2 linked regions of the Tamandua tetradactyla genome follow. The main gene of each other region encodes a partner of the protein of the gene in region 2 in a complex. Links are inferred from orthologs where the notes say so. Each region holds a gene or a part of one and is shown on either strand. Other genes may lie near its edges.

Region 1 (6,468 bases), on a different chromosome or scaffold from region 2:
GCAAATCTGAATCAAAATAAGAGCTCTTAAGATCTCCCGGGTTTTTTTCAGGACTCTTGACTGGGGCTGAGCAGAAGCAGTGCAGGTTGAAAACTGCAGTTTGAGGCAAAAAGGAAAAACGAGGAAAAGAAGAAGGGATAAAGGGAGAAATAGATGGAGAAAGGAATAAACAGGGCATTCTCTCTAACAAGGAATATCGGGTTGAATTCTCTCCCCCGGAAACAAATCACACCAACTCAAGCCTTTGCCTTCTGTCCATGGTGCTGAAGTTTATTCATTTTCAAACTGCTTTCAGTAACAGGTGAGAATTTACCCTAAAATTTAATGCATGGGTGGGAGACACAGGATGCCACAATTAAACTGTTTTTATCTAAAGTTAGCATAAAAATGCAAGAAATGTTGACAGGAAGCTGCAGCTTGAATAAAGTGCTCATCACAACTCAACTTGACAGTGAGATGGGACAAGGTTGCATGAGAGACCCAGGGATGAAGGTCTCTCTCTCAGTGTGCAGGGGCCTGGCCCACCTTTTCCTCCCTGGCTGTTATCTTCGGTACTAAAAAGAGAACAGAGAAACAAAAGTTTGGCTTGGTGACCTGGCTTTCCTGGAAAAGTCGATCTAAGATGACTGTGCTAACTCACTTAACTTGACCCCTGACCATCTACTCCCCACTTGCCCCCAACTCCCAGACTGATGACCCTTTGCGTTTCATGATTGGTACACAGTCTACTCATGAGAAGTCAATGAAGGCAAACTTTGTCAATTTCATTTGCTATTTCGTGTTCTTGCATTTCTAAGGGAGGTTCCCCTTTCCCCAATACATGAACTACCAACGAGCAGTTCACAATGCTTGCCTTGTGAACATTTCAATTTCCCAGTGTGAGTGAAAGTAGCTTTTTGTTTACACTTTATCAGCACGCTGTAGCTGAGGATGCTGGCATCATCCTGAGACTCATGGGTCACCCATCAAATCAGAGCAGAAAACTCAAATGGAACAAACTTCTACACTGGTTCCTTTCCTGCTGAAGTTTCCCCCAATGGTGTTCTTTGACAAGGTGTGAGCCTCAAAAAAGCTATAATTTCTCTCCTCCCTATCCCATTCCCATGTCCCACTCCACTTACCCGGAAGCTATTGCACCCCAGTCCACTCTGGGCTCCAATCCTGTCCATCCTGCCCCCAAAGCAGCTGGATCTCCGCAGGCTCCGAGGGGCAGTGAGCAGAGCCCTCAGCTTGTTTTTCAGGAGGGCAGATCTTTCAGAGGAGTCCCACGGGCCCCGCCCGAGGGCTCCCCCATCTCGTTGGGCTGAGCTGAACTCTCCGGTCCAAGGAGGCACCTCAGGGAGCGGATTGAGAGCTGCACCAGCCTCATCATTCTGATCACTTAGTACTTGTGGGGGCACAACTTCATCTTCTAAAGGCATCTTCTCCTCCAAACGGTCCAGCAAATTCTTTACAAAGGGAAAATACAGGGAGAGAACTCACTGACTTGGAGAAAATCAACAAGAACAACCCAGTATCAGAAACCCCCCTGGTCCAAAACTGTGCCCCTCTCTTGACCCTACCTTGAAATCCATCAGGTCTGCATTGGACACAGGATTGTACACAGGGTTAGCTCTGGTTTGATCTGGAATCTGAAATGCCAGAAAGAAGAGGAAGCCCACAGAGATGGTAGGGAAGAAGCCCATGCTGGAGTGGGTCAGTGACCTGATAATGGCTGCCTCTTCTATCTCTTCTCTTCTTCCCTTGTTCGTCCTTCGTTTGTCTCTGTCTCCCAGCTGCCCTGTGCCTCCTCTTTTTATAGCCCCTCCTTCCAGCTCTCTGAGTGCACAAGAGAGATGGAACCCTCCCCATTCCATCACTTGCAGCGATAAAGCAGCTGAGTGAGGAGCCAGCAGAAGATGCCCTTTTAAAGTTATCAGTCCAGCAGAGCTTGTCACAGCCCTCAACCTTGAGCAGCCCCTACAACCTCCCAGACCCTCAGCTGCAAGAGCCACATTCTTGTTGATTTGCCTCAAGAGGTTCCCACTTCAAAGGTGTGAGAAGAGCAAAAAAGAATCTTTGGCTATCTCACACCGATGCCTCAGGGTTCTTTCTCTTGGGCAAGGGGACCCATGCGGGGAAGCAGTGGGTGAGGATTGGCCAGCACCCAGCTTCCCCAGTTTGTTTGTGGCTCAGCTGTCAGGGGCTCCAAATAAGGGCGGGAGGGGAGGAAATGGCAGGCAGCTGACAGTTCGGGACAAATTAGTCCAGATGCTCAAGCTGACTTCACACCTGACTCATCAATGGGAACGGGCAGACTTCTTGCCTCGAACAGGGCTGCCCTCATTCCTGGCAGTCACTCCCAGCAGTCAGGTGAAGAGGGAGCTATTTTTTAGAGTACTAAGTCAGCCAGAAGCCAAATGTTATGAATGTTCCAAGTTCAGCTCCCCATATAAACACCAATAAAATTTGGGGAACATAAATTTTCTCCAAACTCTTCCTCTTCCACACATTTCCACAGCACCCCCCACCCCCAAGGTTATAAGGATCTAGAAGCTTAGAGCATCCTGATGTTTCATTTGCTGCATATAGAAGCTCAGACTCTTTAAGTCTGAAGGTACAATGTTCTTCCATCACCTTTCCAGGAAAGCTTCAATGGCGAGTTGGCTGAAGGAGTGAGATAGGAGGCGAATGTAATGCACAGATTCCCTTAAAGTCCTCCGTGTTGTTCTCCCGGTCCAAAAACATGACTGGACTACTTAGAGCTTCAATTTTCCTGGCCCCTGAAAGATAAATACGAGGCAGCAAGGTGGTCTGCATTTAATGAAGGCCCTTCCCTCCATTTGCTAAGCACTGCACGTTAGTATACCATTCAATGCAACATACAGATGGTGGGGGAAGGGGAAGATGGGGACACTAAATTGGATGGGTTTAGAACTTTGCATTGGTAGCCCAGTTATACGAGTCTGTGGGCCTTAGCTTCCCCCTTTGTAAAATGAGGGAAATGTAAAAACCTGCCCTGCTCACCTCACAGGTGAGGTTTGAACAAGCTAATGTCTGAAGGCATTTTGAAGTATACAGTTGCAAGGTCATAGGAAAGGTAGCCCTTCTTGGTGAATTATGATGTGCCAGCCAGTGTGCTGAGAGCTTCACGTGGATTATTTCATCTTCATCACAACTCCCAGGAGGTAGGTAGTACCGTCGCCATATGAGGGGACAGAACTGAGACTCTGAGAGGTCGTGTCAACTGCCCAAGTGGCAAAACCAGGACTTGAGCCCGGGTCTGATCTTAACACCTGGATTCTTAATCTATTTCAAGTATACGTGACATGACAGTTCCCAAACAAGCTGTTAGAGATTGAATTGTATCCTCCCAAAAGACCTGTTCAAGTCCTAACCCCCAGACCCATGAATGTGATCCCATTTGGTAAAAGGATCTTTGAAGATATGATTGAGATGAGGCCAAATTGGAATAGGGTGGACCCTAAGCCAATATGATGCTGACCTTCTAAGAAGGGGAGATTTGGACTCAAGGAGAGAGAAAATAGCCAGCGATGGAGGCCGAGATTGTTATGCCATGGATTGCAGACAAGCCACTGCCAGAGCCCTAAAGACTTCAGAGAAAGGATAGCCCTGATGATACCTGCAGATTTCAGACTTCTGGCCTCCAGAACTGAGACAATAAATTCCGGTTGCTTTAAGCCACCCAATCTGTGGTACTTTGTGATGGAAACCCTAGAAGATTATGAGACACCCTTTAGGAGCAGTTTTCTGATTAAACACACCTCCATTTCCCATCTTTCTAAGTACACGTGGGCAGCTCTTTTGTGTGTTTTGTGTCTCTGTGTGTTTGGGGTGCTCTCCTTTTGGACGATCTCAAGGAAAGGGCTACATCCAATCCCCATGACTTGTTTATACACCTAATGTATTTTTATCTATTCTGTGGGAGCTCAGAAAATGTGTGTGAGTGGCCAGTCTGGTCCTGGTCAAATCCTTCCCCAGCTGTGCACACTCCCTGTTTGACCAGATGGACAGAACGCTACACTATGATAAAGCAGGGAAACAGGACCAAGAGTGGTCAAAAGTCACCAGAAGCATGCAGGGCGATTTTATTCTAAGACTGAGGGAAAAGGGGACCCTCTTTAGCAAGTTTGGGGATTTGGGTCACTAATTTGGCAAGCCAAACTCAACTTGAAATCTGAAATGGATGCGATTCTGAATAGGAATTCTGGGGGGCAAAAAACGTTGTGTCCTGATCAGTTCCTGGAATGTATTCACAGTGTAATTGCCCAGTTGGCAGAGTTATTATTAGCAAAGGAGATCCAGCGAGCAGCCTCACTGGGAGGAACTGGTGCTCCTTGCTGCATGCGTCACACAGCCTGTCTCCTGGAGATGCCCTTTGAGACAGACCTTTGATGCAGGCAAAGACTGCCAGGGTGGCATCATAGCAATGGCTATGTCTCTGAGGGCCACTGCTGCTTCTCTGTCCTGAGCCACTTCTGAAGTCTGCAGGTGGCCCAAGAAGAAGTGGAAGTCCCACCCCAGGTTCCAGAAAGAGGATTTCAGAATTTCCCCACTTCCTTTAGTTAAGGTCACTTTTCCTTTTCCAGAGTGAAAGCATCGTTTGTTGAGTTTCTTCTATCAACCAGGTACTTATTATTGTTATCATTATTGTTATTTTTGGCAAGAAAAGGGATATTCTGTTTTGCTGCTCTGAAAGCTTTATGCAGAACCAGCCATGCCACCTGCCCAAACAGGACCCAGCAGAAACACAGAAAATCCTCAAATGCGTGGATCATCCCAAATCACATTAAAGCCCTTGATTTCAGCCTGAAATGGAAAATGACTTGACGTAAAGTTTCTCTCTGTTTCCATGCCCCTGCTCTACTTCGGGGTGTGTGTGGAGGAGTTAATATTTAAGGGGGTGTTCAAAAGTCAGCCTATAGGAATGAGAAAGAAGAAAAGCCAAAGACACAAAAATCAGACCCACCTCCCACCCCCATGTGTCCCACCAGCTGAAAAATCAAAAGCATCTCTTTATCACGGGAAAGAAGGAGTCTTAGTCATATGTGAGCATTGCAAGTGGGTGAGAGAACCCAGAATTTGAGCATCTCCCATTTCTATCCCAGAGTTTGCTTTCCCACCCCTCCATGAGGTCCCAGAAACATCATTCGTGAGCAGAACTGGAAGGAAAAACTGTCACATTCATGACATGATTCTGTTAGAACCAAACAGTCTAGAGCAGAAGACTCAGTGGGGCGAAACTGGGAGGACACCGTTGCATACTTAAGAGATGGGTGTTTCCAGGTGTGAAAGTGATGCTGTGTGTGTTTGGTACCATAAGGAGGTCACTGGGGACTGGAAGTTGGGGGCAGGGCCCAAAGCAGAAGAAGGAAATAGGTAAAGCTACTTCCTCAGCTGGATGGCGAATGTCAGTTCCTCAAAAAAAAACTTAAGCTTGAGGCAAAAGCTCACTTGCTAAGAGCCTTATGGGGGTTCTGTTTTAGTCTGGTAAAGCTGCTGAAAAACATAATGTACCAGAAATGGGCTGGCTTTTAACACTGGGAACTTATTAGTTTACAAGCTTAGGGCTCTGAGGCCACAAAAATGTTCAAATCGAGGCACCGTTCAGACCATACCTGGACTCCTCTGTCAGATGGCAAGGCGCGTGGTGAAATCCACTGGTCTTTCCCTTCTCTTCTGGGTTCCAGTGCTCCCAGCTTCTGGCTTCCTCTCTGTTTCTATGGCTTTCTCTTTCAGCTTCTGTGACCATCTCTCTGTCTTCTGTGTGTATCTCTCCCTGTATTTCTTTCTCTTACAAAGGACTCCAGTTAAAAGATTAAGACCCACATGGGGCATGCTTCAACTGAAATAACCTAATCAAAAGGTCCCACCCACCACAGGTCTACACCCACAGGAATGGGTTCGCTTTAAGACCATGATCTTCTGAGGTTCTGCAGGTTCTAATCCAAGGGAAGTAAGAGTGAAGGAAAAAGATAGTGTATTAGTTAGTAATTACTGCGTAACAAATTACCCCAAAACTTAGCAACTTAAAAAAACCCACGTTTACTATCTCATTGTTTCTGTGGATTAGGTATCTGGAACTGCTTAGCTGGCTGCCTCTGGCTCAAGTCTCCCACAGTTAAGGTGTTTGCCAGAGCTGCAGTTATCTCAAGGCTCGGCTCGGGGAGACTCTGCTTTCAAGCACACTCCTGTGGCTGTCGGGAGGCCCCAGGTCCTTGCTGGCTGCTGGTGGGTGTCATGGATTGAATTGTGAGCACCTGCCCCAAAGACACGTTCAAGTCCTAACCCCAGAACCTGTGAATGTGAACTTATTTGTTACTAGGATCTTTGAATATGTTATGAGTTAAGGTGAGGACCTAAGCCCATAAGACTGGTGTCCTTATAAGGACAGGAAATCTGAACACAGATACAGAAACAAAGGCAGAGAGATGGTCATGTGACGGAGGCAGAGATGGAGTTATGCGG
Region 2 (7,337 bases):
ATGCCCTCTAAACGTGTACACGTGGTGAATGATGATAAAAGGGTCAGACATTTCAGCAGCAAGAACGACTGGGGTTGACTGCTTGTGGGAAGGCTTCGTGGTGGAACTAGGGGAGACAAGAGAAGGAGAACCTGAGGGAAGCTGTGGAAGTTCCTTACGGAAAGGGGCAGAAGACAAGTGTGTGGGTGACAGTGCGGCAGGGCTAGAGACCTCTTACGGCCTCCTGCTGGGGTACCTGTGACTCGTCCCTGTCCCCAGCCCATTTCCAGATGCCTCCAGGCTCTGACCTTGGAAGCTGCGGTTCCACATCCGCTGAGTGATGCCCTCCCCATCAGAAATGGTCCCCCCATGAGCCAGCGTCTCCGTCACTGCCTGGACATAGAGCAGGAGCCCGTCGTGGAAGGACGCTGGGATGGTGTTCACCTGTGGGGCAGGCAGAGCTGGGCTGGGTGGAGGTGGAAGGGGCCCAGAGCAGGACGTCATGGGGAAGGGACTGGGAGGGCTGTAGGCTTGAAAGAAGACAGCAGGAAACTACACCCTCACATGACAGAGCTGTTAGACCTAGAAGATGCTTTTACATTTACACCACTACTTCCGAGTCCTGCTAGCCAGGCAGCACGGTGTCATACTCATTTTACCAATGAGGACCTGAGTTTCAAGAAGTTGAAAACATCCCTCCACCATCAGCAGGGATACAGGAGCAATGGGAAGAGAGGGAAGAAGAGACCTGAGCCGGCTGGGATGGGAGAGAGGGCAGGGTGGAGACTGGCAGAGGGTGTGGAGTGGGAGCTAAGGTCTGCGTCAGGCAGACCCCCGGGCAGGGGACCCTCCTACCAGGCCGTCTTCCATGGTGAAGTTGAACTGCTCACGAGCCAGGTGCTTTAGCTGCTTCAGGAATTCCAAGTACTCAGGATTATCTGGCTCTTTGTATGTAATGATTTTGGCAGCCTGAGGAAGGGGTCAGTGGAGAGGGGGGAGCTGGCAGCTGACTCCAGACCTCTTAGGACCTTGGGGCCCGGCTACCTGGACGCCCACCTCCCGGAGCCGCTCTGCTTAGTTCAAGGTCAGACTGCACCTGTGTCTTGCATCAGCGAGGTGGTGCCTGCTCCCGGGCAGGCGCCCCAGGGGAGGCTTCTCCAAGTTCTGTCCAGATTGCAGGACTTTGACACCCTCCTGCCTCCGATGTTTTTTGCCCCCAGGCTCTCAACCATCCCCGTTCAGGCCCTCTGCATCTTTCTCCCTACCCTTTGCCCTCCATCACCTAACTCCCTATGAGTATCAAGAGTTGCTTTCTTTGAGTCCTTTCAGACACTCTGCCCCAGATATGCTGTGCTGTCAGCTCAGAGTCCCGCGGCCTGGGCGCTCACCTGGAAGGCCTGGTGGGCGCTGACATCCTGCCCGTCTCCCCTCTGCCAGGGTCTGTGCCGCGTGGGGCCGTGTGCCCCTTGCAGGCTTTGTCCAAAGAGGTCCAGGTGGAAGAAAACATACTCCTCCCCGCTCAGGCCGGCTTCTAGGGCCAGGAGCATCAGGGTTCTGAAGACATCTGGGGAGCTGCAGATGTAGATAACTGGGGGGGAGGTGGGGGGAGAGGTCAGAGAAAGAGAAGTCCAGGGTCCCAGGCAGAGGGTGGCATGGGGGTGGGATGCTGGGGCCCCCGGGGGGCAGGGGGAGCAGGAGCTCAGAGATGGAGGTGGGTGGGTATGAGGCTGTGGAGCCTTGTATGGCAGTAAGTAGCAGCCCCTCATGCGGCAGGAGGTAGACGAAGAAGAAGGGAGGAGGTGGTGGAAGGAGGGAAGGGGGGAAGGAAGAGTGTGAGGGAGAGGAGGTAACAGTGGAGGTGAAGGGGGGGAAGGGGGGGCCAGGAGGGGTGGGAGAGGGAAAGGAGGAGCCAGTTGGAGAGCAGACCCCCGGGGAGAGGAGACGGTGTGGGGGAGCAAAGGAAGGAGAGGCTGGAGGAAGGGAGAAGGCTGTTGGGAAGAGAAGAAAGGGGGACGGGAGCTAAGCTGGGGGCCTATTAAGTGTTAGGATCGCCTGGGCATTTTCTCCCTCCTGCTAGCTCCAGAGGAGCCCGTGGGACCGAGGTGGGGCGAGGAGAGGAGAGGAACGTGGAGAGAGGGGAGACAGAAAGAGGCAGAACTAGGAACTCGGGGGCAGAAAGGGCAGAGGGGGCCGGGGCTGGACAGGGCGCCCGAAGAGAGGGCCTAGCCGAGAGGAGGAGAGCGGGAAAAGTGGCGGGAGCGTCTGGCAGTCAGCGAGCAGGCCCGAGGCCCAGCGACGGCCGCGCGCGCCCCTCACCTCGGCCCTTGCGCCGGACGCTCCGCAGCAGCGCGGCGTAGTGGTCGCGGCCGCCCTCGGCGAACTCCAGGTGGTCCACGGTGACGTTGAGACGCTCACGGACGCGCACGTAGAGCCCCTCCACCACGAAGAAGCAGGGCTGGTCGTCGCCGGGCCGGTAGGCGTAGAGCACGAGCGCCTGGCGCTCCCAGCCCAGCCGTCGGTGCAGCGCGGCCACGAAGTCGCCCAGCTTGGCGTGGCTGGGCCCGGCGCGCGTGGTCAGCGCGTACTCGTCCTTGGCCCCGAAGCCGAGCGCCGCGGCGCCGGCCGTCAGCAGCGGGACCCGCCAGTGCGCCGTGAAGCGGCCCACCGGGGCGGCGGCGTACACGCAGCCGGGGCCCAGGAACGCCGCGGGGCTGTGCTCCCACTTGAGGTCCACGGCGGCCAGCGGCGCGGCCGTGTCCGAGCACTCGCCCAGCGCGTTCTCGCTGCTGCCCAGCACCGTGCGGACCGTCCAGCCCGGCAGCAGGTCGGGTCGCGCCTTCACCCGCCCCAGGGCCAGCGCCACCGCGGGCCCCACGCGGGCCCACGACCACGGGTACGAGGTGTTGGCCAGCGGCAGCACCACGGCCACCGTCAGGTTGCCCGCGTGGCTGCCCCGGAGCAGCGGCAGCAGCAAAGGCGGCAGGAGCAAGAGCAGGCGCGGGCGGGCGACCAGCGGGTGCCGGGGGTCCGGCATGGCTCAGCGGGCGCGGTGGCTGCCGAGCGCCCGCACCATGGCCTCGTCGGTCCCCACCCGCTCAGCGGCGGGGCCGCGGCATCGGGAGCGCCGGCGGCGCTCACCCGGGGCCCCGCTGCGACGGCGGGGTCTGGCGGCCGGAGGGCGCGCGGCGGGCGGCTGTACCGGGGCGGGCGTTAGAGGGGCGCGCGAGGGGCGCCGCGGAGCAGGTGGGACCGAGAATAGGAGCGCCGGGGCCGAGAGGATCTGAGGGTGAGCGAGTGTGTGAGTGTGTGAGTGTGTGTGTGTGTGTGTGTGCGCGCGTGTGATAGAAAGAGGAAGGGCGCGGGGGAGAAGGATGGGAGAGGGCGCGCGGGAGGAATGGGAAGGAGTGTGGGTGTTTGTGCGTGTGTGAGCGCCTGCCCCGGGGAGGGTGCCAGAAGGGGCGTCCGGCCGGCCCTAGTCTCCGGCGGCCGGGGGGGTGGGGTGGGGCTGGGTGGGGGGTAAGGACCTGCGCCAACACCGAACCCTCCCTCCCCGCGGCTTCCCCTCCCCGCCTGTGTGACAGAAGAGCCAATCCTGGATCCTTAACTCCTTCCTCACCACGCCGAAGTCTCCAGTGCACTGGGGTCCCCCAGCCCGCGGCGCCCCCACCCCCACCCCAGACCCTCTTCCTGCTTCTCCGCAGCCTCAAGTTTCCTGCTTGAAGAAGGCGCGCCCGCAGGAGGGGCTCGCTGGAGAGGCGGGGAAGGGGGGCTGGGTGTTCGAGCAGCCGAGGGCCGCCGGCGCCCCCCTCCCGTGGCCGCGTCCCTCCGCTCCTACCTGACTCAGTCTGGGTAAGAGGGAAGGACCTGCGGGTTTGGGATCCCGGCAGGAAGAGGTGTGAGGGTGTGGATCCGTGTGTCCGGGACGCGCGGGAGGGTGACACGTTTTTGCAGAAGGCGTTCCAGTGGAAGGCGAACCCAGAGTCCCGGTTACCCGGGCCGTCCACGATTCCCCTCCCGGGTCCTCCCCAAGGTCTTTCGAAGGGAGCAGATTAGCCGAGGCAGAAAGACCAAGGGGGAGGGCGGAGTTAACAGCTCAGTTCCCGAAGGGTTATTTAGGAAGGTGGTTCTCGGCGTGCGGAGCGAGTGTGCGGAGCTGGTGTGCGGCCTCGGGGCGGCTCCCGGAATGTGGGTGGGTTTGTTTCGTGTTGGGGAGAACTGCTAAGAAGGGGCAGCTGGTGGTGGCGGGAGATGGCGTTGGGAATGACCAGTGGGAGGCAGAAATTAGGAAGAGGGCTTGGGCCTTAGACGGCGGGGCGCTGTGTGTCCGCGGTGGGGCGAGCCTGCCCTCTACTGGTTAGCGGGAGTCCTGCCGGTTGGTGCCGCCCGGGTCGCCAACCCAGCGCCTCGGCTGTACCTAAGATTAGCAAACCTCCTCCCTTGAGCGGACCTTTCCAGAGGACCTACTGTGCGACAAGCACCCGGCCAGGTGCTGAGGGCGTTAGTGAGAATAGGAATATAAATGTGTGCCTTTGAGGAGCTCTGTTAGGGACAAACAGCGATAATGCAATTTGGATAAGCACTACAACACAAAAGTGAACAAATTGCCAAGGGGCTCAGATGAGGGCTATTAATTCTGTCTGGGTTGTGGTCAGGAAAATCCACAAACTGAAATAATTCAACAAGGATAGAGGTTGAGAAAGTTATTCTGTGCAGAAACATTAGAATGGTGAAGTATCTTTTCTATACATGGAATTTTAGGAGAATTTTGAAAATTATCATGGTCTAGAGCAGATGTTACAAATGGTGGCAAATTCAGACTTCAGGTAGGTTCAACAGACGCTGTTGGAGAGCAGTTAAGTCGTACTGCTGGGGCCAGGGGTTATTGGCTGCAGGATACACAGCGCAGTGCCTGGGGCTGTGCACAGACTGTTTCCTGGGAGAGAGGCCCTGTCTGGAACTGTGTAAATGGGGAATGCCCAGGGCCTCAGCGCCTGCACAGAAAGGATCAGGGAGGCCCCTAGGTTTTAGCCTGAAGAGATTCTCCAAACTCCTTGTATGGATTAGTCCCAAATGGCAGCACTCCCACAGACCAATGTGCAAAGATTGGGAAAGGTGTTTTCTTTTTTTTCCTCCTCCTCCTCCTTCCTTTTCTTAGCTACTGGCATCCAAAGAAAGCTCTGCTGTAACAGTGGCCGGACACAAGCTTAAGGAATAGATATTCCAGAGTCTAAATTCCAGAGATCACACCCTAAATTATCAAAATGTCTGGGTTTCAACAACCGATTACAAAACATACAGAGAAACAGGAAGTGTTTTTCAGGCAAAGGAGAAGATTAAAACATTAGAAGCCATCAGTGAAGAGGAATAGACCTGGCACATTCCAGACAAAGACTAAAAGGAAAAAAAAGGTCCTAAATATGCTCAAAGAGCTAAAGGAAAACACAGGCAAAGAATGAAAGGAAATCAGGAAAATGATAGATGAACCAAACAGAGCTGAAGGCCACAGTAGTAGAAACTTAAAATTCCCTAGAATGTCCAACAGCAGATGAAAGCTAACAAAAGAATCAGAGAACTTGAAGATAAGACCATTTAAATCATCCAGTCCAAGAAGTATAAAGAGGGAAAAATGAAGAAAAGTGAATGGAACCCGAGGAAACTGTGGGACGCCTCTAGCTTATCAGTATGTACATTGTGGGAGTCCTAGAAGGAAGAGAAAGACAGAAAGAGGCAGAAAGAATATTCAAAGAAATTAGAGTTGAGAATGTCCCATATTTAATGAAAGACATAGAACTACACACCCCAGATGCTCAGTGAACTCCAAATGAGATGAACCTAAATGAGCCCGCCCCACAGCGTGTTATAATCAAACTCTTAAATGGCAAAGAGCAAGAGAGAATTCTGAAAGTCACAAGAGAGAAGCAACATGTCACAAAGAAGCCTTCAAAAAGATTAAGTGCCAATTTCTCTTCTGTAACCAGTGGGGCAAGAAAGCAGTGGGAAGACATATTTAAACTGCAGAAAGCAAAGGACAGCCAAGAAAGAATTCTGTATCTGGCAAGCTGTCTTTCAAAAATGAGGGAGAGATGAAGACATTCCCAGATAAACAAAAGCTGAGGGAGATAGATCCTACAAAAAATGTTAAAAAGAGTTCTTCAGGTTGAGAGAAAAGGACACCAGACAATTGATTGAAGCCACGTGAAGAAATAAAGATATTATTTCTCTGGTAAAGAGAATGACATGGGTAAATATAAATACCAGTACTCTTGTATTTTCTATCGGTAACTCCACTTTTTACTTCCTACAAGATCTACAAGGCAAATGTATAAAATATGCCATTTGTGATGAGAACTACAGAAAGGTGGGGAATGGAGAGGTATAGGAACATGGTTTGTTTGTACTGTTCAAGTGAATTTGGTATCAAAGCAAACACAGTTTTTATAGATTAAGGATGTAAATTTAAGCCCCTGGTAACCACAAATAAAAGAGCAGAGAATATGCAGATTCACCGAGACAGAAAGCGGAGTCCAGGTTACCAGAGGTGGGGGGCAGGGGCTATGGGGAGTTAATGCAAAATGAGTGAAGGGTTTTGCGTTTGAGATGAGGGGAGAGGTAATGGTAAAGGACGGTCCTGAAGGGACCGCAGCTTTGTGACTGTGATTCATCCGGCGGAATGGCATGTCCGGAGAGGTTGGGATGGCAAGATTCCTGTTATTTATGTTTCCACAATTAAAACAAAAAGAAAGAGAAAGTAAAGAGATAATGACAATTAGAATGCAATACAGATACTGGATGGAGTTTAAGAATGGAGGAGAAAAGGCTCAAAAGGACATTATTGGGACAGAAGAAAAAAATTGGAATATAGGATGTAAACTTTTTATCAACGTTAGATTTCTTGGACTTGATAACTGTACTTAAGGTGACCACCTAAATGAATATCTTTCTTTGTAGAAAATGTACATGGAAGAATTATGTGTTCAAGGAGTGTTATGTGTATAGCCTGCTCTCGAATGTTCCGAAAGGAGATCGATGCTCGATAGACCAATGGATAGATAAATGATAGAGAGGATGATAGGGTCAAAGTGGCAAATGTTAAAATTGAATTCGGGTATCTGGGAGAGGGTGGGGGTATATTGAAGTTCTCTGTATGGGGTCATAGTATTATTATTTTTTTAAATTTAAAAACAATTTTAGTGTATAATATAGCATATATACAAAGCAAAGAATGAAAACAATAATTTTCAAAGCACTCTTCAAGTAGTTACCGGACAGATCTCAGAGGTTGTCATGGGCTACCATACCGTCATCTCAGATTTTTCCTTCTAGCTGCACCAGAACGTTGGAGGTTAGAAGGAATAAAT

Evidence for each region.
Region 1: the proteins of NPR1 (region 2) and NPPA are in contact, whole or in part, in a crystal structure (PDB 7BRG), measured with the Rattus norvegicus proteins. The link is inferred for Tamandua tetradactyla from reciprocal best matches to the Homo sapiens genes NPR1 and NPPA. Residues at the interface, in NP_036745.1 of Rattus norvegicus: Asp90, Val115, Tyr116, Ala119, Pro120, Arg123, Ala139, Leu140, Gly141, Ile142, Val144, Tyr148, Tyr182, Asp184, Leu186, Gly187, Asp188, Asp189, Arg190, Phe193, Phe194, Val196, Glu197, Tyr200, Met201, Arg204, His213, Gln214, Glu215, Phe216; in NP_036744.1 of Rattus norvegicus: Arg126, Ser127, Ser128, Cys129, Phe130, Gly131, Gly132, Arg133, Ile134, Asp135, Arg136, Ile137, Gly138, Ala139, Gln140, Ser141, Gly142, Leu143, Gly144, Cys145, Asn146, Ser147, Phe148, Arg149, Tyr150.

What each region holds. Positions count from the first base shown.
Region 1 is NC_135328.1:213,613,938-213,620,405, reverse strand, and holds NPPA (natriuretic peptides A), read right to left. Parts: upstream 1,752-6,468; 5' UTR 1,686-1,751; coding exon 1,563-1,685; intron 1,449-1,562; coding exon 1,122-1,448; intron 555-1,121; coding exon 543-554; downstream 1-542.
Region 2 is NC_135330.1:6,498,420-6,505,756, reverse strand, and holds the start of NPR1 (atrial natriuretic peptide receptor 1), read right to left. Parts: upstream 3,014-7,337; coding exon 2,296-3,013; intron 1,568-2,295; coding exon 1,368-1,567; intron 949-1,367; coding exon 835-948; intron 424-834; coding exon 288-423; intron 1-287. UniProt on the Homo sapiens protein: Receptor for the atrial natriuretic peptide NPPA/ANP and the brain natriuretic peptide NPPB/BNP which are potent vasoactive hormones playing a key role in cardiovascular homeostasis.